Linked DNA regions of Notamacropus eugenii. The protein of the gene in region 1 interacts with the protein of each later gene in a pairwise test. Links are inferred from orthologs where the notes say so. Each region holds a gene or a part of one and is shown on either strand. Other genes may lie near its edges.

Region 1 (7,872 bases):
AGTCACAAATGCCGGCTCTGTCTGGGACACTTCTGATCGAGAACAGTGACTCTCTAGAGCATTTGATATGCTCTTTTGATTAAAGACAGCTGGGAGTAAGCAAAAGCAAATAGCAATCTCTCTGAATTCCATAACTATGTCTGAAAAGTCAAACCTTGCCACTTCCCAGTAGGATCTAGACTCAGGCCACATCTGCCTGTGCATCCTGTAGCCAAGGGATGGAGAATCTCAGAACTGAAGAGGATTTAGATGCAGGCTGTCCTTGGCCCTTTATCTTATAGATCATGAAGTTAAGGCCCAAAGAAATGGAGAGCCTTGTCCAGGATTCTAAAGCAAGGCAGCGACAGGGCTTAGAGCAGCCTCCTGGCACAAGGCTTATTCTCCCTTCTGTTGTCTCCTCCCACCTCTCCCATTCCCCTCTCCATTGCTTTTTCCTCAGGCCAGTTGAAGAAGTTTGAGGGGGGCAAGTGGCAAACTGTGAACGCCTCGGACTATTCGAAGCTGACCAAGCTAGATGGTCAGGTGTGGATTGCCCTGTATAACCTGCTGCTCAGCCCTGAATGCCAACCCAAGTATGACCTCACTGGCTTCAACAAGAACCAGCTCCTTAAGGTGAGTCATGCAGAGAGTGTCATGGGGGAGGGGTGAACAGAGGGCATCCAGCCTTCACAGATGCCCCATGGCCTCCCCCCTGGGCTCCTAGTCACTCTACTCCAACTCTCTCCATTTTCCCAGCTCCTGTAGCTAGCACAGCCATTGCTGCTGCCACCCTCACCAACTGGTCACAACCCAGAGAGGGGAAGGGTGGCCGTTTTCAAAAACTTTCCTTCATTCTGTCTAGGGAGGTGAAAGAGCAAACTCCTCCAGGTGGCTGGATTTGGTGGAGGGCCCTGAACAGGGGTCTCAGTGTTGGCTAAGTTTGATTCAGTCAGCTGACATGGCTCCTGAGCCCAGGGCACTTTCTCTCCCTCCTACCTACCCTACCCCACTAGTATCAGAGAGGATCCTGGATCCCCAGGTCACTGCACCCACTAGAATGACTCCTTCCCTCCTGAGAAAGCCACCTCAATGCATCCTCTTCAGACCTTGGGCATCAACCTCTTTCTCCTCTGTCACCATTGCCCCCAGCACACACAACACACACGCACACACACACACACACACACACACACACACACACACACACACACACACACTCCCCTCCATGGCAAGGTTCTGCTTGGATGTTCAGCATACTAATGCATGACTGCCCTAAGTGCAAAGAAAACCTAGCTCATCAGCTGTAAGTCCTCATGTCTGAGAGTAGTGCCTGCTTAGCCCAGTGTCTCCCCATTCCCAGGTGAGGCTTGGAGGACAGAATCCAGGGTATTAGGGAACCTTTCAGAGGTCTTCACCTGGGCTCCCTGGATCTTCTTCATTGCTTTCCATGGCTCTGTTTCCCAGCTCCGGCCCTTGTTCACTGATATCTTGCTGGACCAGATACCCAACCTGATGGATCTACAGCGCTTCCTGAGCCACCTGGAACTTACTGAACCCCTCCCTCCCAAGAAGGACCTGGTGATGGAGCAGGTATCGAGGGGGAAAAGCCTAGAACAGGAGTCTGACTGGTCAGTGTCCTGTTGGACAGTGGGGTCCAGTGGTAAGAGGACTGTCAATAAGGGCAAACCCCTCGGTTCTCTTACTGGCACAGTCAAACGTATTATGCATGACACCTTCTGCCATATTCATTGGCTCCTGGACTTGCTAGTCAAGGCCTTCTCCTGTTCCATGGCCCTTCCCCACAGATCCCAGAAATCTGGAGCCGGCTAGAGAAGAAGAATGGGGGGAAGTGGCTCTCCATTGCAAAATACCAGCTGAAGCACGTCTTTACTCTCTCTGAGCAGGAACTACGTCTACAGGCCAGAAGGTAGGTTGGGGGGCAATGCCAAACTCACCCACCCTTAAGAGGGATTTGCCCTGAGTCTCAGGGGTCCCTGATGCCTGAAAACTTCACAGAGCACTAGCTCCTTCCTCCTCAGGCTGGTCAAGATGGGGCTATTGCCCTCAGCCTGGGTCAGGTCTGTCACTTTTCCCTGCTTTCTAAATCTCAGACTGAGCTTGGAGCTCCCCAACTGTCCTAGGCCCCTGAGCTCTTGGCCCCTTTGCTGTTTCTACTACCATGACTGGCCTCTGCTTCTTCTTGTACTTAATACCCTTATTGGCCACACCTCCCAAAAGAAAAGTTTTCCAAGATGTGTTTTATGAGGAAAACTAGATGATCCATTCAAAAGAAATATTCCAGGGCAGGATGATTAGACATGTGTGGATAAGAAATTGACCCAATTCCAGGTTAGGCAGGAACTTAGTTTTCAAGCACATCTGTCTAGCTAATGCTTCCCTCACCAGGTTCAGCCCAAGATTTCCTCTGGTTCATAGGCCACAGTCAGGAATGGTTTCTTCTATCCCAGAGCAAGTCCCCAATAACAGTGATTTGGGATTCACCCACTTGGGTTCCTCGGATCAAGATCATTGGGTTGTTCTGTATCTCCCAGATCCCTGTCAGCCAATCAGGAAGCCTCATAATACCATGGCTGGTCTGGAGAAGTACCACTTCTACATACCTGACTAATCATCTGACCCTGAAATTTAGAGCAGGAGAGGACCTGAGGGACCACTTGGTGTAGCCCCTAGGTTTCTTTACTTGAACTTCCTGGGAAACTGAGAGCTGGAGAAGGGAAAACCCTTGTCCATAGTCAAAAAGGCAGCAAGTAGCAGAATCTAGATTTAAACTCATATCCTCTGATTTCAAATTCAGTTTAAGTCACCCTCCCAGACCCCCAACCAGGAAAAAAACATGGAGATACATAAGAATCCAGGCAGTATTATGGGATATCACCTCAAAGTGTATAACCCAGCCTCTTTGACAAAACCCCCAGACCAGACAGTGTGGTCATATTGGTTACACTTCTTGGGGCCCCCGTTTCCTCTGTTTTTCTCCAGATGGGCAGAGACCTACAAGTTGGATGTGATGGAGGCACTGAGCCCTGAGAAACCCAAGTGTGCCTCCTGCAAGGCTGAGGCCTCCAAGCGATGCTCTCGGTGCCAGAACGAGTGGTACTGTAATCGGTATGTTCACCGCTGTGCCCAAATCCGCTTGCCCAGGACTTCAACCCCCTTCTTCTTTTCCCTGTCCCAGGAAGTAGAACCTCCCCAAACACTGATCCAAGGGCTCAGGAGGATCCTGGGCTCCAGGAGCTCCCATTCAGAGGCCCAGGATCAAGGCAAAAGGGCCAAGTCCCTGAGGCCCATGAACCCATTCCTTTCTTAGGATAACAGCTAAACAGAACCTCCTTGAGCCTTCAGTTGCTCCTTTTCCTCTTAAACAGGGAATGCCAGGTAAAACACTGGCAGAAACACCGAAGATCCTGTAACTTAATGGCCCAGATGCTGGACAGCATGAAGGAGGAGGTCAAAGCGTAGTAGAAACTGCTGCTCATCTCCCCTCTGGGTATCCCATCATACCAAGCCCCCAGAGTGCCCACTATGCCAGCTATGTGCCCCTCCCCCATACACACACATACCCTAGCCCCCCAGGCCAGACTGGTCTGCAGGCTCCCCAATCAGGCAGAGGCCACTACTTGCTTTGTGCCCTTCCTGCTCTGAATCCCTGGTAACCCAATCATCCTTGCCTAGCCCTGCAGCTCCCAGGAAAGCCCAGACTACATGAGTCTAGAACCAAGGATGGTTCCTTCGATTCCTGGGAGTGGGGCAGGGTACTTCGCTAGATCCTTAGCTCTTTCTTCTTGTCCTGGCGAAGGGGGAGGGGGAATTCTAGGTAGGGTGAGTCCTTCCAGCACCTAGAGAAAGGAGGGAGTAAGGTCGGGTTGCTGAGACTTCCCTCTGCTTTCTGAGAGTCTGTGGCAGGAAAGTGCGGATGTGGGGTACCTTCTTCCTCTCTCTAGAGCACAGTAAATGCCTTCTTTTGAGAAAGAAGCTTCTGTCTGTTTGCAGTGAGAAACTGCCCTAGCTTGGCCTCTCTCTTCTAAGGCCTGCCTGGTGATGGGATGGGGATGGCTTTGGAAGAAGGCTGAGACTGCTTCCTGTGGGGCCCAGCTGGGCCTCCAAGAGAAAGGGAAGGAGGGGAAAAGCAACCCCAGCCGAGGTGGGCGGGATGCTGCTCGAGGAGCCAGGGTCAGCTGGGCCCCTTCTTAGGTTCAGGTCCACACGGAGCACTGGTGCTTCTAAGGTCCAACTTCCTTCCCCTTGTGGGAGAAGAGACGACCATTGCCCCCTCCCTCTTTGCTTTCCCTGTAACGGCTGAAGTGCCCCCCACCCCACCCCCCTTGGCTCTTTCATCCCAACTTGCACATTTCTGGTATGGTTCGCTCGGATCTCCTCCCCTCCGGTTGGCCCCTCCCTGCACTCGTTTCCCGCCCCCAGTCAAAGGCTGAGTTCTGCCAGCCCCCTCCCAGACTCTAGTTTCCATTGCGTGGTTTTGGCTCTGGGGATCTCAGCAAACGGAGGCAGGGCCCCCGGGTTGGGGCGGGGCCGGTGGTCCAGTGCTGCCCGAGCCTTCGAAGTGGGGGCCGAGGACAGGAGTGCGGGGGAGCGGACTCCAGCCTCGGAAGGCGCTAGGAGTTGGAAGGGCCGGCTCCGCCCTAATCTGGGACCCATAGATGGGAGGGGGAGAAGGAGGCCAACACCTCTGCTACCCATCCCAGGACCCACAAGGCGAGGGAGCCCCCTGCAGTGACAGGGCCCGAGAGCCAGGGTGCTTAGCGGTCCACTGAGTCCGAGAGGCAAAGATCGAGACGGGCAGAGAACTGCAGGCAAAGGCAGACGCTGAACTTAGGCTGGGGGGGAGGGGAGGGGGGAGGGATGGGAGGGGGAGGAAGTGCAGAACGAAGCAGTGACCATCCCAGCTGAAGAGCACCGAGGGACAGAAGTGGCCAGAACAGGCAGCCGCCCGCAGAGGGACGCCTGGAGAGGCGATAATGTCTGCGGAGCCGGAGCTGATAGAGCTGCGGAACTTGGTCCGGTACCCCGACGGGCTGCGGGGCCAAGAGCCTGGCCGGAGCCCGGGCCCGCGGAGCCCTGGCCGGCTGGAGCGCGCCAACGCGCTGCGCATCGCCCCGGGCCGCGGCCCAGACGTGCTGCCTCGCGGCCGGCAAATCCGTCTGCTGGGCGGCCACAGCGACCCCCGACTCACGGCCGGACCCGGCCGGGGCCACTGCTTCCGTCCGTCAGGGCCCGGCACCCACACTTGGTGCGACCTCTGTGGGGACTTCATCTGGGGTGTCATTCGCAAGGGCCTGCAATGTGTCCGTGAGTACTGGGGTCTGAATTCGAGGGGGGGGGAACCCGCACTCTAGACAGCTGCGGCTCAAAGTGCTCGGGTGTGACCACGTGGGAGCTGCACCTCGTGGGGTGCAAGGCCTGGGGAGTGTGAGGAAAGAGGAGAACATCTAAGTTCCCAAGGGAGTGGGATCCGGGATTTGCAGGTGCACCTGGCGTCAGCCAGGTTAGCAGCAGTGAGTGTGCCTGAGGCAGGGAGAGGGGAGGCCCTGGTGTAATCACAGCCTTGGACCCACATTTGCAATAGGTTTCCCCTCCATATCAAGGCCACCTCTCCGCCCATTCCTTCACTATGACCATGGGGGAGGTGATAACCATGTGGCTAGCAGCTACACCCCACACCTCATCTCTCTCCCAACCCCAGTTAGTAAGCTCTTTGAAGACTTCGCCAGCACAAGGTCCTGCTCAGGAGCCACAATGCTCCAGAAGGTAGAAGCCCCCACCTTCAGCGGTCAGTGTGATTTGACCTTTATAAAGTTTACCTTTGGCCAATCCCTGTCAGAAGATCTTGGCTGCTAAAACTTAGCAGCGTTGCACTGCATTACTTTGCTGGGCAAATATTTAACCTATTTACTGGACAAGCCATCTGCAAGCACTTTGAGCAACATTTGCATAGACACAACGAATGTGCTCATTTCCAATGATTCTCATCTACAAATTAAGCTGGCCTAGGCGGTCACTCTCCCACTGCCCCACCCCCACTCCCAGATCGGGTTTGGCCACCACAGTTTCATTTCGCTTTCTGTTGTCTTGCCTTCCTCCTGGTACTTCCACTCAGCAGCGTGTTACTGGACTGGGATACTGGTGCCCGCCACCACAAATGCCATTGTGGTATGGAGGAGACCAGAGGTTTCTCTAAGTTTGGCCAATGCAGTGCAAGCTCTGGCCCTTTCTACCAACCAAGAAAAGTTCTGAATGCGGCCTTGGTGATGTCAGTCCTTGGAGGACCAGTCTAATGAAAGCCAATGAACGTCTTTACACGAAAACAAGACCACTATGTGGTTTGTTTTTGGACTGGGCAGTGACCCATAGAAAATGGCCCAAGGTCCTGTGGAACAGCCTTCCAGAACTTCCTCAGTGTTGGAGATCTGTGGGGAAGGGACAGAAGGTGCTGGGAATCACCAACAAACATAAACTTAACTGTTGATATTCTGAGTTCCATCTTTGTCCAGTGACTAACAAGCTGACACATTATTGGAGAAGAGGAACCACATCAATGCTGATACTCTAGATATTGACAAAACAAGAGGGCATTCAATCTAAGCATGGCCAGGGCTTGCAGCATCTTCTCTGAGAAGCAAGTAATGGGAGTTGATTTTGTGTCCAAAACTAACAAAAAACATCATTTAATGTAACATTTGGATCATCTTATCTTCACAGTGCTCAGACTGAGCATAAGCAAACAAAACACCATATAATCATGTGACATTCAGCCAATATTCAATTCATTGAGCACCTACTGTGTGCCATGCAGTGCTAGGGATGCAAAGCATAAAAAAACCCTCCCCACGAGAAGCATAAATTATATGGGGGAAGGGGAGGGTGACATGCCCACAGATAAGTAAATAAAAATACATGTAGAGCAAATACAAATTCGCTATGGAGTGGGAACTGGCAACTGGGTGAACTAATGGAGGAGGGCTAAATTCGGAGTCAGGAAGACCCAAGTCTCAGTCCTGCCTCAGACACTTCTTAGCTGTGTGTTGTTGTTCAGTCATTTTCATTCCTGTCCAACTCTTTTTTAGGGTTTTCTTGGCAAAGGTACCGGAGTGGTTTGCCATTTCCTTCTCCAGCTCATTTTACAGATGAGGAAACTGAGACAACAGAGTGAAGTGACTTGCCCAAGGTCATACAGCTGGTAAATATCTGAGGTCAGATTTGAACTCAGGAAGATAAATCTTCCTGACTCCAGGCCAGGTGCTTTATGCACTATGGCGCCACCTAGTTGTCCCATTAGCCAGCTGTGTGACCCTTAGCAAGTCACTTACCTCCTCTGGGCCTCAGCTTTTTCACCTATAAAATGAGGGCATTGAAGTGGGTCCCAAAGGTCCCTGGATCAGTATAGGCCTCCTGTAAAGGCTCATCTGAGCTGGTAGAAGTGAAGAAGTCATGCACTCCTGGCAAAGGGGGACAGACAGCTTGTGCAGAAGCCAAGATAGGAGAGAGGCAATATGTTACAGCCAGGATTGGAGTCTGAAACTAGACAGTAAAGTAAAAATGCCAACCGTAGCTTATATTTTATCCTGGAGGGGATAAGGAGCCCTGCTGCAGCTCCTGGGTGAGATGAGTGACTGGCAGACTCATGCTTGAGGTCTCTCAGTTTGGCTGCTTCGTGGAGAATGAATTAGAGGGGGAGATGTTAGGCAGAAATACCAAACAGGACATTCAGGTCGAAAGTTGATGAGACCCAAGCAATGAAAGTCACATGACCAAATTTCTTATACTAGAAAAATGATAGAACTCAACAGCCAAGTTGTACAAAGTCAGTCAACACACATCTTAGCACTTGGTGACTTCGTTATGAAAGTAAAGAAGATA
Region 2 (7,374 bases), on another chromosome or scaffold:
CTCTGTATTCATCATATGCTTAATTTCTTATAGCACGGTAAAATAATTTGTTTAGCCACAATTTGTTTAGCCATCCCCAGTCTGTCAACAAACATTTATTAAACACCCAGGTGGACACCACTTTTGAACGCTGTGGATAAGTTCACTTACCTTGGTAGTATACTTTCCAGGGATGTACACATTGACAATGAGGTTGTTGCACGCATTGCCAGAGCTAGCTCAGTGTTTGGGAGGCTCCAAAGGAAAGTATGGGAGAGAAGAGGTATTAGACTGACTACCAAATTGAAGGTCTACAGAGCCATTGTGCTGACTTCATTGTTGTATACCTGTGAAACATGGACAGTCTACCAGTCCCATGCCAGGAAACTGAATGGCTTCCATTTGAACTGTCTTAGGAAGATCCTGAGGATCACCTGGCAGGATAAAGTACCAGAAGCTGAGGTCCCTACTTGAAGTAAATTGCCAAGCATTCAAACTATGCTTCAGAGAGTACAACTCCAATAAGCTGGCCACGTTGTTAGAATGCAAAATGTATGCTTGCCAAAAAGACTATTTTATAGAGAACTCACATGGAACAGGTGATCACATGAGGGTCAGAAGAAGTGATACAAAGACACTTTCAAGGTCTCTCTCAAGAACTTTGGATTTGATTGTGCAACATGGGAGACACTGGCACAGAACCACTCAGCATGTGGCTTGCCCGCATCAGAAAGGGTGTTGTGATCTATGAGCAAAGCAGAATTGAAACAGCACAAAGTAAACATAGGATGTGCAAATTTGGAGTATCCACCTCAAATGTTCACATGCACTGTTTGTGCCCACCCTGTGGTAGAGCATTCTGAGCTCATATTGGCCTGATCAATCACAGTCGGACCCATAGGAGCTTGACTCTAGCATAGTGATGTCATTTGGGTCTTCTTTGAGAAATAAGGACAACAACCACTAAGCACCCATTAGGTTCCAGGTATTATGCTAAGTGCTGAAAAGTACAAAGAAAGGCAAAAGACAGTCCCTGCTTTCTCAAGGAGCTCACAGTCTAATGAGGGCGATAGTTGAGATATAGACCAAGACCATGTACAAACAAGGTATATTCAGGGTAAGTTGTCGATAATCCCAGAGAGAAGACATTAAGGTTAAGGAGGACTAGGAAAGGCTTTCAGTAGAAGGTGGTGCTTTTTTAATTAAGACTTAAAGGAAGTTAGGGAAGTTAGGAGTCAGAGATGAGGGGGTAGAGTGTACCAGGCATGGGAACAGGTGCCAAGTGGTAAAAGTACCTAAAAAAGAAATATAAGCCCTGCTTTTCAGGGGCTCACAATTAGACTACTGCAATAAATACTACAATATACAGAATACAGATATTACTAAAATAACTTTAAAAAATTAATTTAAAATCATATCTTGAGAATTTAATATTTATCCCACTCAATATTACACCAATCCCCATTAGATTAAACAAATCAAAACTTTTAATCTAAATAAAAGTTATGTAATTTATGTAATTTTTCCCATTGTTCCTAATCTTGGGATCTGCATTCACCCTTTCTTGGTCCCAAATTACTCCATTTTCACAGTGACTGGAAGCTTTCCTTCTCTCTAGCCTAGGCAGAAGACAGAGGAGTTTTCTCTTCTGTCCTAGTTAATACCCTTTCTTTCAGAAAACTAGCTAATCTAATCTCACTGGCAGATTGTGACCTGTCTAAAATAGGGTAATCATATGATAATCTTAAAGAGCTAATCCTCACCTAGTCTAACAGATCTGGATTCATCCCAAATCAAATTCCTGAACTCCTGAAACTTCTTACAATATCCTTTGCCCCATTTACTGAATTTCTTAACAGAGACTATTTACTGTCTCCTGGATGCATTCCCATCTCTAGGTCTTTGCTTACATGGTTCTCATGCCTAGCATGCTCTCCCCTTCCCATCCCCCATCCACACCCTGGCTTTAGAAATTCTAGTCATCCTTTACGATTCATCTCAGAGGCTATCAGGGGTGGGAAATCTGTGGCCTCGAGGTTCCCCACCGTTGGCTAACTCCTCCAAGAAAATTCTCCCTATTGTCTCATTTAGAAATTATCTCTTTCTTTTGACCTCACAAAGTACTTTGTACCTGTCTTCTGTTCCTACACAATCCCATTCTGCAACATCATTATTGTATGCTATTCCATATGTGTGTATGTATCCTTTGCTAGACTGTGTTTTAAAAAGGCATCTACCATGCCTTAATTATCATAAATCCCCCAACACCAAATACAGTGCTTTGTACATAATAGGAGCTTAATACATGACTGTCCAAGGAAAGAATTTATATATTAAAAAGATATTCTTGCTTCCCTAGGCATGACTCTCTCCAGGCTCTCTTTTTATCTATCTGGTCATTCCTTATAAATTATGTTTTAATTCATTCATCTATATCCAGTTTCTTACTTTTAGGTATTTTCCAAAGCTCATTCCTAGGTCCTCTCTACTTCTCTTTGCACTTTCACTCCCTTCCTGTTCTCATCTGCTCCCCTATATTCAGTTATCCCCTCCAAAAAGATTCCCAAATCTAAATGATTATTCCCAACCTCTTCGGTCTTAGATCTCCAACTGCTTGCTAGATAGTGACACTTGGTTGTCCCAACTCAAAATGAATATGTCCAAAATTGAGCACACCTTCTTCCCAAACCTGTCTTTAATCCTTTAAATTTCCTTACTATTTTTGACAGAACCATCATCTTCCCAGTCAACCAGGTGTGAAACCTCAGTCATCCTCAGCTTTTCACTCTCCCTTACCCTCCATATCCAAGCTAGTGCACCAAGTAGAGTCAATTTACATCTTTGTGATTCTATCTTATCTTCCTCTTCCTCTCCCTACTAGCTCCTTCTCTCTCCAAATAGAGGTCTCAGGTCTTTCCTATTTATGTAACTTTGGGAGATCCATTGCTGGGTCACCAGGGACTGGGACATTGGACCCTCCTTCTCCTATACCTGGGCATTCAGCATGGACCTCTTTCTGAGGCCTAGGCAACCTCCCCAACCATTATTCTGCCTGCCTCTATTATAATCAATGTTTAACACAGTACTGGGCACATAGTAAGTGTTTAACAAATATTTATTGATTGATAATTAAGCAATTAAGTAGTGATAAAGATCCAGATACAATAGTATTCTAACCTTAGTTTTAGCACAATAGAAATACAGGAACTCACAGCTCACAGGCTGGAATAATCTGAGGAGACTTCCTGAAAGCCAGGCATATAAAGGTAGGAAGACAAATGAAGCAGTGTTGAAATAATCCTGAGGAGCAATGATCTACTGTATTGTTATTATTCCCCAGGAAGTATAAATGACTCAAAAAAAATACAGTAGTTTATTGTTAAATGAGAACTAGTTCTCAATGTGGATATTAAGTCCCCCTCTAACAGATGGAGATAGTAAGTTAATATTACATTTCACGGACTGATGATTTCACTGGCATTGGTTTTTGCCCACCTCCACAACGCAGAATGCAACTTCTTTGTAACTCAGTAGACTTTGAAAGTTAACCATGCTCAAAAACTTCATCACTCGGTGACCGAACTCGTGAAGAGCCTCCATAATACTCCGTTGCTTGTTTTAAGGTAGGACTCTCTTAAAGAGAGGCTAAATAACTTGTTGAACTAAACATAATGGAAGATTCAGGAATAGATTCTGGATCTGACTCCCCTCCCAGCTTCTCTGCACAATCGCTTCATTTTCGTTTGCTACAAAGTACACAGCCCCGAAGTGCTAACGCAGCACTGTACAAAGTACACACACACACACACACACACACACACACACACACACACACGTCACTCAATACTGCCAGCAGAAAACACACTGTTTTATGCACTGTACTGCAGTTCAAACAAAATATACGAGGTCAAGTGGGACTGGAGGGAGCTTAAGTTCGGTTTGCAAAGAGACAGCCTTCGTTCTTTGCGCGGTCCGATGGGTCCTTTAAGGAATTAGGAGGGGTCCCCTTGCTTGCGCCATGTTTCTGATGACTGCCAGCTGCTTGGTGACTCGCTTTCCCCTCCAGCCCAGTGGGTCTACGCCTCGGCAGCCCCAGGGAGATCCTTAAAGAAGCCAGCGGCAGCACGGGCCTGTGGGGCTACAAACTTTTCCAAGGGAGAGCTGTGGGGCGGGGGCAGAAGTGCAGAAATAACAGCAACCAAAGCTGGAGAATCCGTCACTGGCCGGGGCCAGAGACGGTGCCCCGGCTGGGTGACGGGGGACTGGGAGGGCGCAGGAGGTAGGAGCAGCGGCCGGACCCACAGCGGCGGCTCCGGCGGCTGCAGGAGCCCCGCCCGGGCTGGTATGCGGGCGGAGAATGACGCGGGAGGCGGGGTCACGTGACGCCCTTGGAATGCCAACAATGTAGCGAATGTCCCACTTGGGTCTGCGCGTTGGAACAGCGGCGTGAGCGCCCGGGGAAGATGGAGCAGCCGCCGCCGCAGCAGCCCCCGCCGCCGCCGCCCGCGACTCCTACGCTGCTGCCGCCTCCGCCCGGGGCACCCACCTCCCTGCGGGGCCAGCAGCGGCCCGAGCCGCCCGTGCCCGGCCGCTCAGCGCGAGAAGCCGCCGAGGCGCCGCTGGTCAGCGGCCCCCGCTGTTCCTAGACCCCACCCGTCTCTGGAAGTGAGTAGGCGCTGGGTGTGGAGTGATTGTGTGTGTGTGTGTGTGTGTGTGTGTGTGTGTGTCTAAGTGTGTAAGAGGGGGGCTGCAGTTATCAAAAGTTTGTCCGGGGGCTGCCAAGCTCAGGGTACTCCCTCTCCTCCTTCCAGTCCCCCACCTTCGCCGCGGGAGGTTCCGGACCGTCCGTCCGCGACGCTCCGCCGCGTGGGGCTGGCTCCGGCCAAGGGCAACGGCGGCCCCCCACTCTGGGGCGGAGAGTAGAGGGACCGAAGGGAAGTTTTCCCCTAGTCCGCCCCAGCTACTTCCCATTGGAGGGAGATAGCACCCACCCGACCCGGTGTCGGGTCGGGTCGGGACGAGGACGGTCCCAGAGCATCCTGGAGGGGGGTGAATTCGCCCGGTGGAGCGATGGCTCAGAGAGCCCATAACTCCGTCTCCGCCGTCCCCGCCGCCTCTACTGCAGCGCAAACTAAGTTTGGGACAAGTTGGCAGGGCACGGGCCGCGGGGACTTTGTCCGGGCGGTGAAGCTCCGGGTGCGCCTCTTTGTTGTGCGTCCCCAGGAATGGCTTTTCTGTGGTGTGTGAAGAAGGGGCAGGGTTACCCTTTTCTACCCAGCTGGCAACTGGAGGAGTCCGGAGACGGTGTCCTCCCTGGGCGGGGGTGGGGGAGATGCCTCTCTCATTCCTTAGAGGCGGAGAGAGCGAGAGGACCCGGGGATGTTGAACTGGGCTTTTCCATCAAAAGGTCCCTTGAGTCTAGACACTCTGATTCTGCTGGGGCGCTGCTGGCCCCGGGGCTCTTGACAACTCGGTTCTGTTTGGCTCAGCTGGGCCAGGCCCGTCCCAGGGGCAGTTGCACGTCACTGGTTGGGATGTCCCACGCAGGCCTCAATACCCTTGGGGCTCAATCCAGGCTCTCTCCCAGGCTTTTTTCTCTGTAAGTTTCCCTTTCTCCTTCATAAGTTTGTCTCGCTGTTTCCAACAAGCTCTTTAAGTTTCGGGAATACTTTCGCCGCGGTAGTTCTGGTGGCAGTTGCATAACATGTCTTCCCTGTGTCCTAGTTTAGCTGACTTTTCTGGGACTTGACTTTCTTAACTTCCTAATGCCACGCGCTCGCACTAACCCGGAGCGTTTATTTCCCCGGACCACCGAGGAAGGTGCTCATTGTGTTGTCTTGACTTTTTTTGTTTGTTTGCATATTACCTATCTACATTACCTGTCTTTGGAAACAAGGAATTTCAATTTTCCTTTTGGGAAAAATGCAGCCTATGGGACCAGATTGGCAGAAGACTGGAGCACTTGGCCGGAAAGCTTTTAATGTTTGATTCTTCCCAAGTTTTCTGTATAGTGTATCAGAATAAAACTACATCTGTATGTCTTGTTGGTATGGAGACGGCATGGTTAGAGTAACCTCCTAGGAGGAAATAGTCCCGACTCACCATGTGACCTTGAGCTGGTAAATACCACCTATATATTCCCTGCGGTGAAGTGAAAGCTAATGCTATTAAAAGCTCTGTCTACAGGATACTTTGTAAGGAAACATCAAGATGTATCTTTAGGAGTTACATTGTGTGAATAAAATAGGTTTTGGATAAGGACAGCAGCTGTTACATTATGGAGGAGGAGAGAAACACATTTAGGGCAAACTTAAAGTCTTCATTTGTAACATATGTGGTGACCTGAGCTTTGTGAACAGCGCTAAGCCAGAGAAGGTAATATTAATAGAGAATGTCAGCAATACATACGATAAGTAAAAATTCAAGTGAAATCTTTTCAGAAATAATTTTTTCATGAATTTGTTTATTTTTAAAGCAAACTTTGTGAATACTTTTAAGGCAGCCAGAATGAAGCAGGAATTCAGTTCCTAATTTCTGTTTGGATCTCAAATAGTCTGCAAATTGTAAAATTTTTGAAATTGGTGGGTAATGTGAAGCAAATAAAGGTGAAAGTAGATAGTTGTTTACTTTCAGAAAGGTTGTACCTAGAAGATTTTGGCCTTTATTTTAGGATAAATATCTGCTGCAGGTTGGATTCCCTAACATCTGCTTGAGAACCATTCATTCTTGGAGTGCTACAAGGAATGAGCTACTTCCGACCTTTTTAGCTTGTTTCACAATGCCTATTGTAATTCAAATGTATCACTAAATTAGAACTTCCAAATTCAGCAGAAATGAACTGTTCAGAAAAGGGTCTTTTAAATTTACATGACAGTTTGAGTTGACCTCATAAAATTTGGTCTAATTAGCTCCAGTTACATAGAGAATTCTGCTTAATGAATATATGTGTATTCCTTTGAAACGAATTCTCTGAGCACTTAATCAGAAGAGTCAAAGTCAGAAACTCAGATAATTTTGAAATTGTGTCTTAGATAATAACTGGTGTGGAAATATTCAGGTTAATTAGTAGGATCTTAGAAACTTAGAGCTAGTAGGGACATTAGAGACATAGAGTGTAAACCACCTCATGTAATTTGAAGTAGTTTTCAACTGATACTAAAACAATACATATTTCTTTCTCTTTTTTACCAAGTCTTTATGAAGCATTGGGAGGTCAAAGTTTATAGATAAAATGTCTTATCATTTAAAGTACTGTTTAGTTCCTTATGTCATCCCACAAATCTGAAATCTAAGAAATGTTGATAAGTTCACAACATAACACATAGTAAGTTGAGAAGTGATTTAAGGAGTTTTTCTGTGGGATGTACAAGGTAGATTGTCTTTAAAAAATAAGAG
Region 3 (7,847 bases), on another chromosome or scaffold:
TAAGTACTTTTCTGTTTTCAGAAATGTATCAAAATTATGAAGAGTAGAAAACATAATACTTGTTTAAGTCAAAAAGCATATTTGAGAAATAAAATACTCACCAACACAGTTCAATTCCATATATGTGAACATTTATGTAGCAATTCTGGGGGCTTCTTGAGATGTAAAGTTCTTTTTTTAAATAGAGCACTGGAAATTCTACATTACTCTCCATGCAAATATACAGAATCAAATTTGAAGTGAATGCAAGTCATTTATCTTTTCAATATACACAGACTAGTCAGTAACATCATCTCTGAGTGCTAGAGAAGGATGGATGATGGCCAGTAGCCACATGCTGGAAGATGATATTATGCTAATTGTGTCAAGCCTTGAAATGATCTATTTTTCCTCAGTGAAGTTCATAGTTACTCAGAGATCAGTCCAACAAATGTAGAAAACATAGAATAACCTGTTGCTCAGCCTGTGACATGCAGCTGGATGTGCAGTTCATTGAGTCAGACCATCAGTACCTGCATAGACACTGGAGATGAATCCCTGGCTGGACCTAGAAGTGAATAGAAGGAAGAAAATAGTTTGAATTGCTTATGGCTAATTAGGTAGTATTGCTCCCTGACATGTAACCCAAATTTATAGAACAACTGTTCTTCTTTTGATTCTATATAGCTATGAATCATGGTACATGATCAAGCTTCAGGTGACTCACAGGTCAAGGAATGTATAATAGGCTGCAACATACTACCAGTGATGATCTGTGTGGAAAAAGTAACCTAAGATAGATCATCTGGGAGGTATGTTAACAGGAAAAAGAGGTGGGCAGTCATGCTTCAACAGCACATTCTTCAGCCTTTTGAAGTAGAGCGGATGTTATCCCTGTTTTGCATATTAGGAAACTGAGGGCATAGAAACTAGATGTTTTGTCCTAGTATCTCTAGCTAAAAGTGCTAGAGCTAGAACCTGGAACTCAGGTCTTTTGACTCCAAGACTATAGTTCATACTGTTACAATGCATCACCTAGGAAAGCTAAAACACCAAGAAATGAAGTGATTTATACTTGGTGTTTTAAAGACTTAGTGTTAGTTCCTGGATTAAACTCATCACCCCAGTAGCCCTGTTTTGCTACTTGGCCATTTGAATTTTATCATCTTTCTCATCTTATGTTTGTCCATTGTAGATTCACTTAAATATTTTGGGGGGAAAAGTAATACAATATTATGTGCCTATTTTAGAAAAATATTTGGTATACAACAATCTTAATTTATGGAACAGATTTTAAAAATGCTTTTATCTTGTCAAAGGATGCTTCATTTTATAGAATATTTAGCATTCCTCTGATGTGTACTGAAAATTGTTTGCTGTATATATGTTTGACAAGTAAAGTATAATTTTAACTTTCTCCCTTTGCCCATCTCTCTGGTATAGGAGACCTTTGTGACTTTAGAACCAACAACCATTTATTAAGAACCCTTTATGTCCTGCACACTATAAAGCAGTGGGAATACAAATCTAATAATCTTTTCTTAATTCTGATCATCCTTAATCCCAATAGGAATTGACACTGAAAAACACCATCTTTTCTGGTTACTGTCCTGTCTAGGTTTCCATGACACTGTTCTTATTTTCCTCCTGTCTATCCAACTGCCCTTCTCAGTTTCCTTCGATGACTCGATGTTTCCTAAGACTCTTGCCCTGGGCCTACCATCTCTCTAGGTCCTCAAGTGAGGCCCTTTGACTGAATCCAAACCTCAGAGAACAAATCCCCTTAATAAAAGCGTTTGTTCTGTAAAACTTGGACTCAGTCAAAAGGCTATCCCCAAGGACCTAGAGGGCCACATGTGGCCTCGAGGGTCACAGCTTCCCCACCCTTCTTATGCCCATGTGTTGTTCCATCATCACTTCTCACCTCTAGATCTATTTAATCAGCCAAGTGGATCTCCAACTGCCTCTTGGACAACTCTATTAACATCCTAGAGGCATCTCAAATACATGTCCCAAAAACAGAACTCTTATCTTTCCCACCACATCCTCTCCTGAACTTTGCTATCACTAGCAAGGGCACCACGGTCCTCCCAATCACTCAGACCCACACCTCAGTGTAATCCCTTGACTCCTTACTCCCACTCCCCTCCACATATTTAGTCTGTTGCCAAGTCTTGTCATTTTACTTTCATATCATCTCTCAGAAGTCCCTTTCTTTCTACTCATAGCCTCATTAGCCATGCTAAGTTCAGGCTCTTTCTTATATCTTGCCTGGACTACTATAATAACCTAACTGGTCTCCCTGTTCTTAAGCCTGTCCCTGCTCAATCTATCCTCCATTCATTTGCCAAAGGGATTTTTGTATAGTGTAAGTCCACTGAGTGAATTCCAATAGCTCCCTTTTACCTCCAGGATCAAATATAAAGTCTTCTGTTTGGCATTTAAAACTTGTCATAAGAGGGTCCCTTCCTACCTTTCTAGCCTTACTCTCCTCCCCAAACTCTACAATGCAGCTATGCTTGGCTTTCTTGTATTTCCTCGAACATGATAGTCTCCTCTCTCTGCCTTTGCACTGGCCTTCCCCCAAGTCTGGAATGATCTGCCCCCTCATCTCAGCTTCTTAGTTTCCTTCCTTCCAGACCCAGCTCAAATTCTATCCTTTGAAAGCCTTCCCGCATTCCAATAGCTGCTATTGCCCTTCCCTTTGAGACTAACTTAATCTATGATATGCTACATATCTTGCATCCTCCTAATAATTTATATATTATCTCCCATTAGAACATAAGTACCTTGAGGGCTATTTTCTGGAGAACTCACATGGGGCAGGTGATCACATGGTGGTCAGAAGAAGCAATACAAGGACACTCATGGTCTCAGGAAATCTGGATTTGACTGTGCGACATGGGAGACACTGGCACAGGACCGCTCAGCATGGCATGCCCACATCAGAAAGGGTGCTGTGCTCTATGAGCAAAGCAGAATTAAGACAGCACAAAGGAAACATAGGATGCTCAAATTTGGAGTAACCACCCCAAATGTTCAGACTATCTGTGCCCAATCAGTGGCAGAGCATTCCAAGCTCTTATTGGTCTGATCAGCCACAGTCGGACACATTGAAATGTGACTTTATTATGGTCATGTCATTTTGGTCCTCTTGGAGAACAAAGGACAACCACCACCAACCAACCTTGGGGGCAGGGAGAACTTGCTTGGTTTTTGCCTCCCTTGTATCCCCATAACTTTGCAGAGTGCCTGATACATATGAAGTACTTAATAAATGTTTATCGTCTGACAAAGCCAAAAGTGAAATAGACCTTGTCTGAAAAGAATTTATATTCTAACATACAAAATGAATACAAGGTAGTTTCAGGAGAAAAGACTAGAACTGAGAACGGTTTCCTGCAAAAGATAATGCTTAAGCTGAGTTTGGAAGGAAATGTGAGGTTCCAGGAGGGAAGGAGAACTAGCCTTCCAGGCATGGGGGAAGAGTCAATGCAAAGGCCCAAGAAAGGGGAAATGTGAGTGGCCTATGGGAGGAAACAGGGCAAGTAGGCAAGTATGGCTAGATGGTGATGAAGTATGTGGAGGGGAGACTGGTAGATAGGAAGGGGACAGTACGTGAAAGCTTCAAATGTCGAACAGTGGGATTTCTATTTGATCCTATAGGTCACAGAAAGCCACCGGAGCTTCCTAAGCAGTTAGGAGACATAAGACCCTGACCTAAGGAAATTTATTTTGATAGCTGAGGGAGGGAAGCAAGGAGATCCACGAGGCCCCTGCAATAATCCAGGCGAGAGCGGATGAGAGTCTGAGCTAGGGTGGTAGCTGTGAGCGGACTGAAGAGGACAGGTGCTGTAGAAAGGGAATCATCGAGACTTAGCAGTTGTCCACGTGGGGTGGGAGTGAGCCCAGCATGAGGCAGGGTTTTAGACTGGGTGGCTGGGAGGGTGGTGGTCTTTCCGACAAGCAGGAGCAAAGAGAAGTGCTGTCTGGGCCCTGTTTGGGATGTGTATCGGATACGCAGCTGAAATGTCCGGTTGGGCAGTCTGAGGCTGAGGGATTGGAGCAGCAGAGCATTAGAGACAGGTGATACAGTCCTGATGGAGGGTGGACTGAACCGCGGGTGCCAGGGCGGTGACCCAGAGAACGGAGAGAGAAGGCACCAGCCAGGATCCTGGCAGCCAGCGGGGGCTCGGATACACCTGGGGAAGTCGCCTCCGCCGGGGCGACCAGCCCAAAGCCGAGGCTGTACGGGCGGCACTGGTAGAGCGATGCGCTAGCCGAGGACGCGGGCAGCGTGGACCACCCCCCAGCTCGGACCCTGCACCGCCCCCCCCCGCGTGGGCAGCACGTTCCTGACAAGCACCCACGTGCCCCTCGGGCTTGCGCTCTGCTCGATACCAAGGATCGCAGGGAGGCTCTGGCTTTCCCGACTCTGACGTGTTCACAAAAGACACCCGGAAGATTTCTGCTCAGGGCTTTCCGTGGCCAGCCCCGGAGCCTGGGCACTTGTGGCAGAACCACCATTGCAGTTAGGAAAGCAAAGTGACGGAACTGGTCACAAGCGGGATGACCACTGCCTGCACTGTTTAGTCACGTCAAAGGAAAATCCTGCCTAAGTCGAAGAAACAGTGGAAAAAGCCCTAAAACTGCAAAGCGAAACCCGGGCCTAAGCGGAGGACTCTCGCAAGGACGGATGAACGTCATCGCGGACTGAGGAGCACAGCTGTGTAGAAAGCGATCTGCGCCGGGCTCCCGGCAGGCGTGAACACGCGCGCCTCGCCGCAGCCCTCCGCTCGGGTCGCACGCACGTCCCCGGGCCCGGGGTCCCGCCCTCGGCCGCCTGCACGCTCCGATCTGCTCTCCGGGGCCCGGGAGAGGGGAGGAGCTCGCGCTTCCCGCCGCGCGGCCTCAGCCGCCCTCCAGGGCCCGCTTCGGCACCGTGGGGAAGCCCGCGGCGCAGCGGCCACGGGGTCCGGGGAGCCCGCGCGCTGCCGCACCGGCGCCCGTCATGCCCTGACGTGTGGGCCTGTCTCCTCCCTCCCCGCTCGTCGCTCGGAGCCGGGTAAGGGGCGGGGCCTCGGCCCTCCAGCTGAGCGGTCCGGTCAGACCGCGCCAGTTTGAATGAAGGTTCCACAAGATGGCGGCGGCCGCGGCCGGAGCGCGAGGAGGTGAGGGCTGGAGAGGGTCCCTGCCCCCACCCCGCTTGTCTCACCTCTCACTGCCCAAGCCGCGCTCCCCGCGTCTGGAGGACCGGGAAGGAGACCTTGATACCGAGGGGCGGCCCGCCATCTCCCCGCTCCTGACGCGGTGACCCCAACGTGGGGAGCGGGACGGGGGCTGGCCCCCACACTGTCCCGCTGGCCTCGGCCCCTCGGCCCCCAGCTTCGCTCCCTCCTCCCCTCCTCTCTTCCTTTCTTTCCTCCTTCTCCCCTCTCTCCGTCTCGTCCCGTCCCGTCCCCTCTCCTCTCCGCGCCGCGCCGCACGCTGGCGGGAGGCTCGGGCGCACGCCGCGGGAACTGAGCCGGGTTGGCGCCTCTGCCCCCGCAGCCCGCGCCGGGCACGGTGGGGAGCCGTTTACCGTCGCCCTCCCCGGCCCCAACGTTTCGCGGGCCCCGGAGGCGCCGCTGGCCGGGCCCCGGGCCCCCGGGCCCCGCGCCGGGCCGGCTTTGGCTCCCCAACTGTAACGGAGGTGGGGGAACGGCGGGCGCGAGGTGTGGGGCCGAGCGGGAGGCGCCCGGCCGCCCCGAGGGGATTAGTGGTTGGCTAATCCCTGAGCAGGATCCGAAGGCTGGTCGGGGAGGCTGCGGTTTGACTTCTTTGTGGTCCTGCGGAACTCAGATGTGGTGGGGTGGAAAAGTTTGTCGGTTTGTCCTGGGGAGGGCCCCCGGCCCGCAGTCGGGTCCCGGCCGTCCCGAGGGGGAGGACTTGGGGCCGGGGCTGTAGAGAGGCCGGAGGGGAGGGGGGAGCGTGAGCCCGGAGGTCCTGGGAGCCGGACGCGCTCGGCTTGGCCGGGCTGCGAAGAGTTGGGGAGCTGACCCCCACCCCCACCCCGGGGGCTTCCGAGCCCCAACCGAAGCAGGTCGGAGCGGGGGTCTGTGCCTTGGCGCCCCAGGACGCAGCGGGCTAGAGCGGCTGCTTGGGGAACACATGGCATTCCTGTAGACCCGGAGCGGGCCGGGAACCGCCAGCCTTTGTGCGCCCCGCAGCCAGCCTTCGCTGGTGGGAAGCGTTAGGCTGGCAGGAAGGTTTTCATTTAGAGCACCGTGCAGGCGCCGCTCGGCTCCTGGCCCCCTGGAGTGCCCCCGCACAGAAATAGAACATTTTGAGTAGTCCTTTGTAACCCACCGAGTTCTCCTCCATTAGTAGATGCGGTGTCCTTAGCACCGGGCGGTGGAGGGGCCCCTCGCTTTGCGTAGAATTTCTAAGAGTTTTAGATCTGTAAGGGACCTTCCGAATGAGCCCGGGACCCCAGTCTTTGCTGAGGACTTGAAGTGATCTTTGGGTGTGGGAGACACCTGCTGGCAGTGAAAACGTGGGGGGTGTTTGTGAGGAGGCTGCAGTAATCTGAATATTCCTTCATTATAGCAAGGGAAAAGGTATTGTAGGTAGGTTTATCCCCCACTGTAAATACCAGATCACAGGAGTAGGTGTGGTGGCTCTTACTGGCTTGGAAGTATGGAAGGTAAGGACTCTGAATCTGCTGCTGAGCTCTGTTCCAAATTCTTCTATTTGGCCCCCTCTTCACCGTGAAGAATCTTAAGCACAGAAGGGGTTAAATGCTTTGCCCAAACTTCTCTAGCAGAACCTCGAATAGAATTCTGTTCTCCCATTTTAGTCCAGTACCCCATTATACCAGAGAGACTATGGATTTAAAAGTCGCGAAAGGTTTTGCTCAGATCACTGTTTTTAAAGGAGTCTTGATTTGAATTTTTTTTTTGCAATACGAATAATTGGATTCTAATATTTTTACGTTAGGATGAAGAGTCCTAGTGGAGGACCTAGGTTGAGACCTTAGCTTTGCCACTTACTCATTTGTATGTTTGGGTAAATCACTTGACCTCCCTTAGCCTTTCTTTCCCTGTTGCAAAAATGAAGAAGTTAGACTAAATGACCTTTAAGGCCCCTTCAAAGTCTGTGATCTTAGTAATAAGTTTAGATTTTAGTATATCTATATATATATTTTTCTTAAAGTGGAACAGATTTGTATACATTGCAAGATCACATTTCACAGTATTTGGGGCATCTTACAGTCCATTCATTACTTTGACACTGCTTTAAAAAGCAAAAATGAAAAAATTAACATTGGAAAAATGAATGTCGTATCCATTATGGGTACAACTCTTGGGTTTATTTATTGTGAAGTTAACACGTTATCATCTTAGAGCCTAACTTACCTCCCAGGTCCTGTCCAGCCTCTGGCACATTCTAGCTCTGGGACCTTGGACATGTCACCTGATTTCTTAGTGCTGGGGTGGGAGAGAGGGGAGAAGACTACTAAGTGGTGTATGATCTCTATTGGTGGAGGGAATTGTTGCTCTCAGGAGTTCATTTTACCAATTAAATCACAGGGCTGGATTGAATGGTAATGTTACAGCATGGGCAAGACAAGTGTAAATTTTAAATCTCACAGCCTTTCAGAGTGAGAAAACTGTAAACTAATGCTGTAAGTTTGACGTGTTTTGGTTTTCAGCTCTTTTTCCCATTTGTTGGTTAAAGAAAAGAAAGAACTTTATTACAAAGCTGTACATTTGGCTTCATTTTAAAATTTCTTATTTCTTTTAACATTTATAATATGTTCTAATAGTTGGCCAGGGGGTCCTATAACTTCCATTAATAAAGTAATTGTGTACATAAATGTAATGAGT
Region 4 (7,406 bases), about 520 Mb from region 1:
TGTACTACCCTATATGTGGGAAAAAAGACTTTTAAACAGGAGAAGGTCACAGAACTCACCCAGCTTCCAGACCAGAGGAGGTCAGTAGGGTTTGTCAACTTATAGTTGAAATAAAAGGTGGTAGGTAAGAAAACACCACCAGGGCAGCATAAATAGAAAGCTTTAGGAATCTTAAGATCAGAGAAGTTTCATGGAGGAGATGGAATTTGTTAGCACTGAAGGAGGAGAAAGAGCTGGATTTGGAGTTTGAGGATCTGCCTTCTAACCTTGGCTCTGTTGGGGAACTCATTTCACCTCTGTAAGCCTCGGTTTCCTCATCTATAGAATGAGACAACTGGATTAGGTCCCTTCCAACTCTAGATATAGGTCTTTCAAGCTCTTAAACTATACATTATGATTTATTTATTCAACAAGTCCATTACCAGAATTAGGAGACACCAGGGCTCAAGTTCCAGCTCTGGCACTTACTAGCTTAATGTGATGGTTTGCTTGAGCCGGCTCAGGGTTTCCTTATCTGTAAAATGGGTAAAAATACTTGTAAGATTCACCTTCTGGGCTGTTTTAATAATAACAGCTAATTAATAATAATAGCTAACACTTACTATGTGCCAGGCACTGTGCTAAACTCTTTACAATTATTATCTCAAATGATTCTCAAAACCCTGGAGGTCAGTGTTATTATTATCCCTATTTTAAGGATGGGGAAACAAGTAAACAGAGGTTAAGTGACTTGCCCAGGTTCACAAAATTAGAGAAAGGTGTCAGACTGAATTTGAACTCAGGTCATCATGACTCCAGGCCCAGTTGCTCTAGCCATTGTACAGGATTCAAATATATGGAAACACTTTGGAAACCTTAATAAAACACTTTGTGAATATCAGTTATTATTATTCATTCAGCACTCACTCAAATGGATCAATAAGCTTGTTGTTTTACAAATTCCCTGCAGTGATACAGATCAAAACTATACAGGACTGCCCAGTCTATTCAGCTCTTTTTCAGGTCCCCTTATAAGTTCAACAAACCGAGGCAGACCTTTTTCCATTTCTCCAGATGTCATAACAATATGTACCTACCAGTGGAGCACTCAAAGGATCCAATTTGTCGTGCCTCAACTTCACCTCCAGCTAAGTGTATTTTTCAACTCCGAGGTACCACATCACACCCATCAGATTGGCCAACATGACAAAACAGGAAGATGATAAATGTTCAAAAAGATGCGGGACAGTTGGAACACTCATTCATTGTTGGTGGAGCCATGAGCTGATCCAACCATTCTGGAGAGCAATTTGGAACTATGCCCAAAGGGCTATATCCTAAGGCTGTATCCTAAACAGATCATAAAAATGGGAAAAGGACCCACATGTAAAAAATATTTATAGTAGCTCTTTTTGTGGTGACCAAGAACTGGAAATCAAGGGAATGCCTATCAACTGGGGAATGGCTGAACAAGTTGTGGGATAGGAATGTAATGAAATACTATTGTGCTATAAGAAATGATGAACAGGCAGACTTCAGAGAAACCTGGAAAGACATATATGAACTGAGCTGAGTGAAATGAGTAGAACCAGGAAAACATTGTACACAGTAACAGCCACAGTGTTCAAGGATTGTTTCTGATAGACTTAGCCCTTCACAGCAATGCAAGGACCTAAAACATTCCCAAAGGACTCTTGAGGCAAAATGCCATCCACATCCAGAGAAAGAACTATGGAATCGGAATGCAGAATGAAGCAGAATATTTTCTCTTGCGTTATGTTTTGTTTGGTTTTGGTTTGGTTTTTCTCATGGTTTCTCCCATTCATTTTAATTCTTCCATGCAACATGACTAATGTGAAAATTTTTTTATGTTTAATAAGAATGTATGTGTAGAATTCATATAAGATTGCTTGCTGTCTCGGAGAGAGAGGGGATGAAAATTTAAGACTTATGGCAGTGATTGTTAAAAACTAAAAATAAATTAAATTTTTAAAAAAAGATAGGTCCTTTTTTTCCCCAATCACATTTGCATTATGACATTCTTTACTCCATTTCACTCCTAAAGTTCATTATTTGTCATATGCTGCAGCTTATTTACACCTACAATACACCTTTGTGGGTTATTATTACCCTCTGTGTGTAGTTTCATTTATGATTTCTTGAAATAGAGCTCTGAAAAACCAGGCTTTGAGAAAGCTCCTTGTGATTCAAATAGAGCTACTGACTATGCCTTTAAACTCAAATCACTCTGACTCTCACAGATTGGCCAGGTCCCAGTTCAAGCCTTGCTTGGTCATTGTTTGTGTTTTGATGGCTCTGAGTGTGTAAATTGTTATTGTTTCTGTTCTAGACATAAATCCTGTGGGTCTTCCCTTCCCAATTTGACTTTTTTTTTTTTGAGTATGTAAACTAGGACATCTTTTGACTAATTTCTCACCTAGCCTTAGCAGCACCATCTACAATCATACTGATCTATTTCTTTCCACTGGACTCAGATGGCTCCAGAGGAGAAAGTGAGGCTGGTGACTTTGCACAGCCCTCCCTCACTTAAATCCAATTCACAAACAAGTCATGGCATCACCTTCCTAGTACCATGATCCTCTTTGAGAATGAAGAATAAACATCTATGTAATAGTCATTGTGTTCCTGCCCAATTCCAAAATGATTGGAGGGGAACTGTTAGAGTCTGAAAAAGTGAAACATCCAAAAGAATCTTGGAATACTAGAATAACCGAAGTGGGACATTACAAATCATGTAGTCCAACCCCTTCATTCTCCAGAGGAATCTGAAGCCATGAAAAAGGAAGTTACTCTCCAAGACCATATAGTGAATCAGTTCACCTCATTGGTGCCATAATAGACCTTGGAACCAAGGATGATCTCTAGGTTGAGGTAAAAGTTAAATCAAATAAAAGGTCAAGGTTACAATAACCTTAAAGAAACCATTACTGTTCTCTTAGATTTAGCATTCCAAGAGAGTGGTCACATCTGAACCTGAAGTGAAACTGTCCTCTATTTACTAGATATTGGCCTTGGGAAGCTCACTTTGCATCTCTAAACATTAGTTTACCCATCTATAAAATGGGAATAGATAATACTTTCAACAGAGGAAGCTAAGTGGCTAGAGTACTGGGCCTAGAGTCAGGAAGCCCTGAGTTCAAATTTGACCTCAGATCTTCACTAACTGTGTCACTTAAACTCTGTTAGCCTTAATCCACAGGAGAAGGAAATGGACAACCATTCCAGTATCTTTGCCTAGAAAACTCCAGGGGGAGTCACAGAGTCAGACATGACTGAACAACAATTCTTTTAATACTCACTTCCCAAGGATATTGAGGAGAGCTCTTAATAAACACTAACGTATTACAGAAATGTGAGTTATTATTAGTGATAGGAATAAAAACTTATTTATCTGGCATTTTACAAAACACATTCTCTACAGCAGCAGCCCTGTGAGGTAGATAGATCGTGTAAAAAATATGATCTAGCTCTGTCGCTTCCAAATGAAAAGAGACATGGGTTCAGGCTGGGACCAGATAATTACTGGCTGTGTGTAAGTAAGGAGGATTCTGTCGTCTTTTCAGAGGGGAGTGTCTCAGGATCCGCTGCCAGGGCAATGTCTAGTTTCTGAGTGTTAGATGCTAACTCCCTAAACGGCCCCCAGGGTCACGGGTGGTCACTCCTAGGATCACAGCGGTGGGCAGTCCTAGGCAGTGAGATAGCGATGATGGCACCGCTGGCACTATGCCTTATGGAGAGTGGGCACTGGTCAGCACGTGGGGAATGCCTAGAGGAATGCCCGCACCTGCCTCCACCTGCGGCACCGAGGCTACGGAGGAGGACGGGCAGGGCACAGGGCACGCGGGCGCCCGGCTCCGTGGACGCCCCCCTGCCGGAAGGGGGATTAGGAAGTGGTGTAGGTGCCCGGTGCACCCATCGAGAACACCAGCCTAGAATAAGCTCAGACCAGGAACCCCCAGCTGCCGTCCCGTCCTTCCTGCCGGGCCCCACCGCCTCTCCTGAAATCAGGGGTCCAACTGCGTGACTGCTGCGCTTCCTTCCAGGACCATACCCTGCCGCAGCAGGGCTTACGGCGACACCGCAGAGATGCCACTGGCCTAGGACCGTGGAGGAAGGCCTGGGCTCGAATCGCAGCTCTGGCGCTTACTGGCTAGGAGACCTTGCACTAAGTACTTCCCCTCTCTCCCGCCCCAGCTTCCCCCTCTGTAAAATGGGCACGTGGGTCGCTGCCGCGTGATCGCCATGCCCTCTCTACTGCCCAGCACTGAGACCCTGGCTGAGGCGCCGAAGGCCGCGGGGCTGCCAGGCACTAGTACAGACCCCTGGCTGCCCCCTTGCGGGGCCTCTCTGGCAACGGTATACTTACTCTCCCGGCCCCGCCCCCGAGGGGCACGTGATCCAGGCCCCGCCCACTGGGAGCCTCTCCACCTCCTCCACCTCCCCCTCCCTTCCCCTCCCCTCCCCTCCGCGGCGGCCCCACCAGCCCCACTTCCGGCCCGGGCGGAAAGCGGAAGTGTCGGAGGGACCGGTTGGGGATGGGGCAGTAGCAGGTTCGAGCTGCCGGCGGCCGCGCTATGGAGACGGTGCAGTTGAGGAACCCGCCGCGCCGGTGAGTGTGTGTGTGTGTGTGTGTAAGTGTAAGGGGGAGGAGACGAATATGTGTGAGTGTGTTAGGGGGAGACTACGTTTGCGAGTGTGTCGGAGGAGGCTGTGTGTGTGAGAGGAGAGGCTGTGCGCCAGTGGGAGGGGGACCCGTGTGGGCGTGAATGTGTGAGTTGTGAATGAGGGGTGAGGAGAGTGCGTGTGTGAGAGAGGTGCTATGTGTGTATGTGAGTGAGAGGAAGGGGGTGTGTGTGTGCGTGCGCGCGCGTGTGTGTGAGCGAGTGCGGGAACACTGTGCAGACCTCGAAGTGGGGGCCGGAGGGCCGTGGATGGGGTTCACCGTGAGGAGGAGAGGCTCCCTACGAGCCCAGGGATGGCAGGAGGAGCCTGTGGGAAAGAGTTAGTCCGAACGATACCTTTGCTGGGTTCCCCGTCCAGTACTGGGGAAGTGAGAAGGGTGCTGGGTAAACATCTAGGTGATCTGCATTAAGAGGACTGTCCTCCTGATTGAGTTATCATCCTTCAGAGCTAGAGTCTGAAGTGACCCACAAGCGCTTTCTTTATATTCTCCTCATAGACTTTTAAAATTCAGTCTGCCACCTTGGGCACAGAGATGGACAGAAGGGAAAGTAGTGTGCACTTCTAAATCTGTGATTCTGACATTTCTGAGGACCCTTCTCTATCTGTGTTTTAAGGTTCCTTCCACTTCTGAAGTTTTGGATCTGAAATAATAATGCCCTGTCAGTAACAGAGCAAATGCTGTTTGCCTCCCTGAGTTAGGTTCTCACACGTGTGTCAGGGATAATGAAATAAGAGCATTCTTACTTTGCTCAAACTTGTGATTTGTGAAATGACAAGGCAAGGTCGACTTTACTTTGCTTAAAGTAGTCATTTGTTTAAAAGTAATTTCTTCACATATACTGACATTAGACAGTTAAGACTCAGAGCTTGTCTTCAGTAAACTGTTGATACTACCCTCAGGATTCTTTGGATGGCATGTGCCCATACTTTGTTCATGTTGGCAAAGAGCACTTTCGGTACGAGTTACAGAACTACTGACTGATCACCGAGGCTAAGTTTAAAGGCTGGTTTAAAGGATTGGTGACAGTGTATATGACAATATATGCAAAAAACCACATGTGTAACTTTTCAGGTTATCATTTGGACTATGCGCAAGCGTTTAAGAACTCTTGATATTTTGGATCTCTGGTCTCTTACTCTTACTTCAGAGAGTAAATTGATGCTTTCTCATCTTGTACGATTCTTCTCTTGTTTCTGTAATTTCTCCATGAAGGACCTGCTCAATGTGCTTAAGACCTTCCTGGAGTTCTTTGAATATCACAATATAGCATGTGGTCTGTCCATCTGTTTCCAGAAAAATAGAAAAAGTAATAGATTGTTCGTTTATTTTAAAAAAAGATGATTAAGAAGACATCAGTCATTGTCAACATGTTTTTGCTTATTTTCTCATTTCTAAAATCTTTTGAGAATTGTTGATCCTTGATGAAGACATGACAGAGGAATGGGTAGACTGTGAACAAGGACTTTCCACAGCAAGTTACATCTTCATAGTAATATAGTTGATTAAGAAGTACAGAAAAATGTAAGATTCTACTGTGTTTATCATTTTCTAAAAATTGGTAGAAAAAATGCATCCCTAACACCTTTACTCAAATGAGAAATTTCCATATAAAGATTAAAATGTTACACAAATGTTAAAATCGTGTAAGATTCCATGATAGGCACTCCTAGGGAGATCATTTCATTGATCCACTAAGTGTCAATCTCACAAAACAAGTAAGACACATGTTCTTGTAAATTGTTCACAAGTGTCATAGAAGCTAACCTACATACAACCCAAATAGAAGAGCGATTTCCTGTCATTAGCAAGATTGTCTTGATACTGCTAATGTTTATACATGACATTGTTCTGATTACCTTGAGTTCCAGAGTGCTGCAGGAAGATCCATAATCATTAATTGTTTTGGTTGTTTTTTTCCCTGTATAGATGTGTAAGCAAAAGTCACTGAAAAAAAAAATATGTTGCCCAGGCAACATTTAGTGAAATAGGAAGTTCACTGTGATAATTGATCATTATAGATAAATTTGGACGAGTGTTATGTTATGAATGGATAATGAGATGAACTTCGAATTGAGTAGGAGGAAAAGATCGGACTGAATCATTTGGGAATTTGCACCTCCTTGTTAGTGTCTTAAGTTGCTCTCTGCTGTAAAAGAATAACTCTAATGCTAAAATTCTGCCATTGATGCTAATTATCTGTCAAGTCATCACGCTCCACTATCTCAGGAAAATCAAGGTTGAAGGTACTCTGGATGTCAATGGAAAGATGCATGGGACTTGTAAAGCTGTAGCATTTTTCCAAAGATAACTCGGGGGTGAGAAGCAGTATTAAATTAAATTACTAAGAACCTTTTTTGATTGAAATCTTTATTGATGATGTAGTAATGCCCAGGTGTAAAAATTTCAGTCTGAAAATTTTGGGGGAAATACAGATGAAACCAGTAGTTACCTATCCTTTAAAAATAATTGTTTTTATCTTATCATTGTTGATATGTTTTGTTTCTTTATTACCAGAAATTCAGAATCTATCCCTACCTCCCACATTTCCTCTTGTGACAAAGATGAATGGAAGCAGTTCAGCAAAGCCAGTTGTCATACCACCTGTGTCTGACAGAATATAAAATGTTCCTCCTCCTCTGTGACGAATAGAGGGAGATGCATTTTCTCAAGTCTTCTCTGGGGCTAATCTTTGTCCTTATAATTACACGGGATTCAGTTTCAT

The links.
Region 2: the proteins of RASSF1 (region 1) and LATS2 come close enough for resonance energy transfer, tested with the Homo sapiens proteins (2 studies listed by BioGRID). The link is inferred for Notamacropus eugenii from reciprocal best matches to the Homo sapiens genes RASSF1 and LATS2.
Region 3: the proteins of RASSF1 (region 1) and SUV39H2 interact in a two-hybrid assay, tested with the Homo sapiens proteins (2 studies listed by BioGRID and IntAct). The link is inferred for Notamacropus eugenii from reciprocal best matches to the Homo sapiens genes RASSF1 and SUV39H2.
Region 4: the proteins of RASSF1 (region 1) and STK4 interact in binary tests that used the Homo sapiens proteins (3 or more experiments, as listed by UniProt). The link is inferred for Notamacropus eugenii from reciprocal best matches to the Homo sapiens genes RASSF1 and STK4.

What each region holds. Positions count from the first base shown.
Region 1 is NC_092872.1:4,982,694-4,990,565, forward strand, and holds the start of RASSF1 (ras association domain-containing protein 1), read left to right. Parts: upstream 1-4,859; 5' UTR 4,860-4,973; coding exon 4,974-5,304; intron 5,305-7,872. Other genes in the region: ZMYND10 (zinc finger MYND domain-containing protein 10), read left to right, coding at 440-612, 1,444-1,569, 1,785-1,906, 2,980-3,105, 3,366-3,459. UniProt on the Homo sapiens protein: Potential tumor suppressor. Required for death receptor-dependent apoptosis. Mediates activation of STK3/MST2 and STK4/MST1 during Fas-induced apoptosis by preventing their dephosphorylation.
Region 2 is NC_092876.1:188,106,241-188,113,614, reverse strand, and holds the start of LATS2 (serine/threonine-protein kinase LATS2), read left to right. Parts: upstream 1-4,360; 5' UTR 4,361-4,644; intron 4,645-7,374. UniProt on the Homo sapiens protein: Negative regulator of YAP1 in the Hippo signaling pathway that plays a pivotal role in organ size control and tumor suppression by restricting proliferation and promoting apoptosis.
Region 3 is NC_092874.1:166,643,008-166,650,854, reverse strand, and holds the start of SUV39H2 (histone-lysine N-methyltransferase SUV39H2), read left to right. Parts: upstream 1-4,833; 5' UTR 4,834-5,119; coding exon 5,120-5,150; intron 5,151-5,509; exon of another isoform or gene 5,510-6,657; coding exon of another isoform or gene 6,658-6,664; intron 6,665-7,847. UniProt on the Homo sapiens protein: Histone methyltransferase that specifically trimethylates 'Lys-9' of histone H3 using monomethylated H3 'Lys-9' as substrate.
Region 4 is NC_092872.1:521,326,841-521,334,246, forward strand, and holds the start of STK4 (serine/threonine-protein kinase 4), read left to right. Parts: upstream 1-4,392; 5' UTR 4,393-4,574; coding exon 4,575-4,609; intron 4,610-7,406. UniProt on the Homo sapiens protein: Stress-activated, pro-apoptotic kinase which, following caspase-cleavage, enters the nucleus and induces chromatin condensation followed by internucleosomal DNA fragmentation.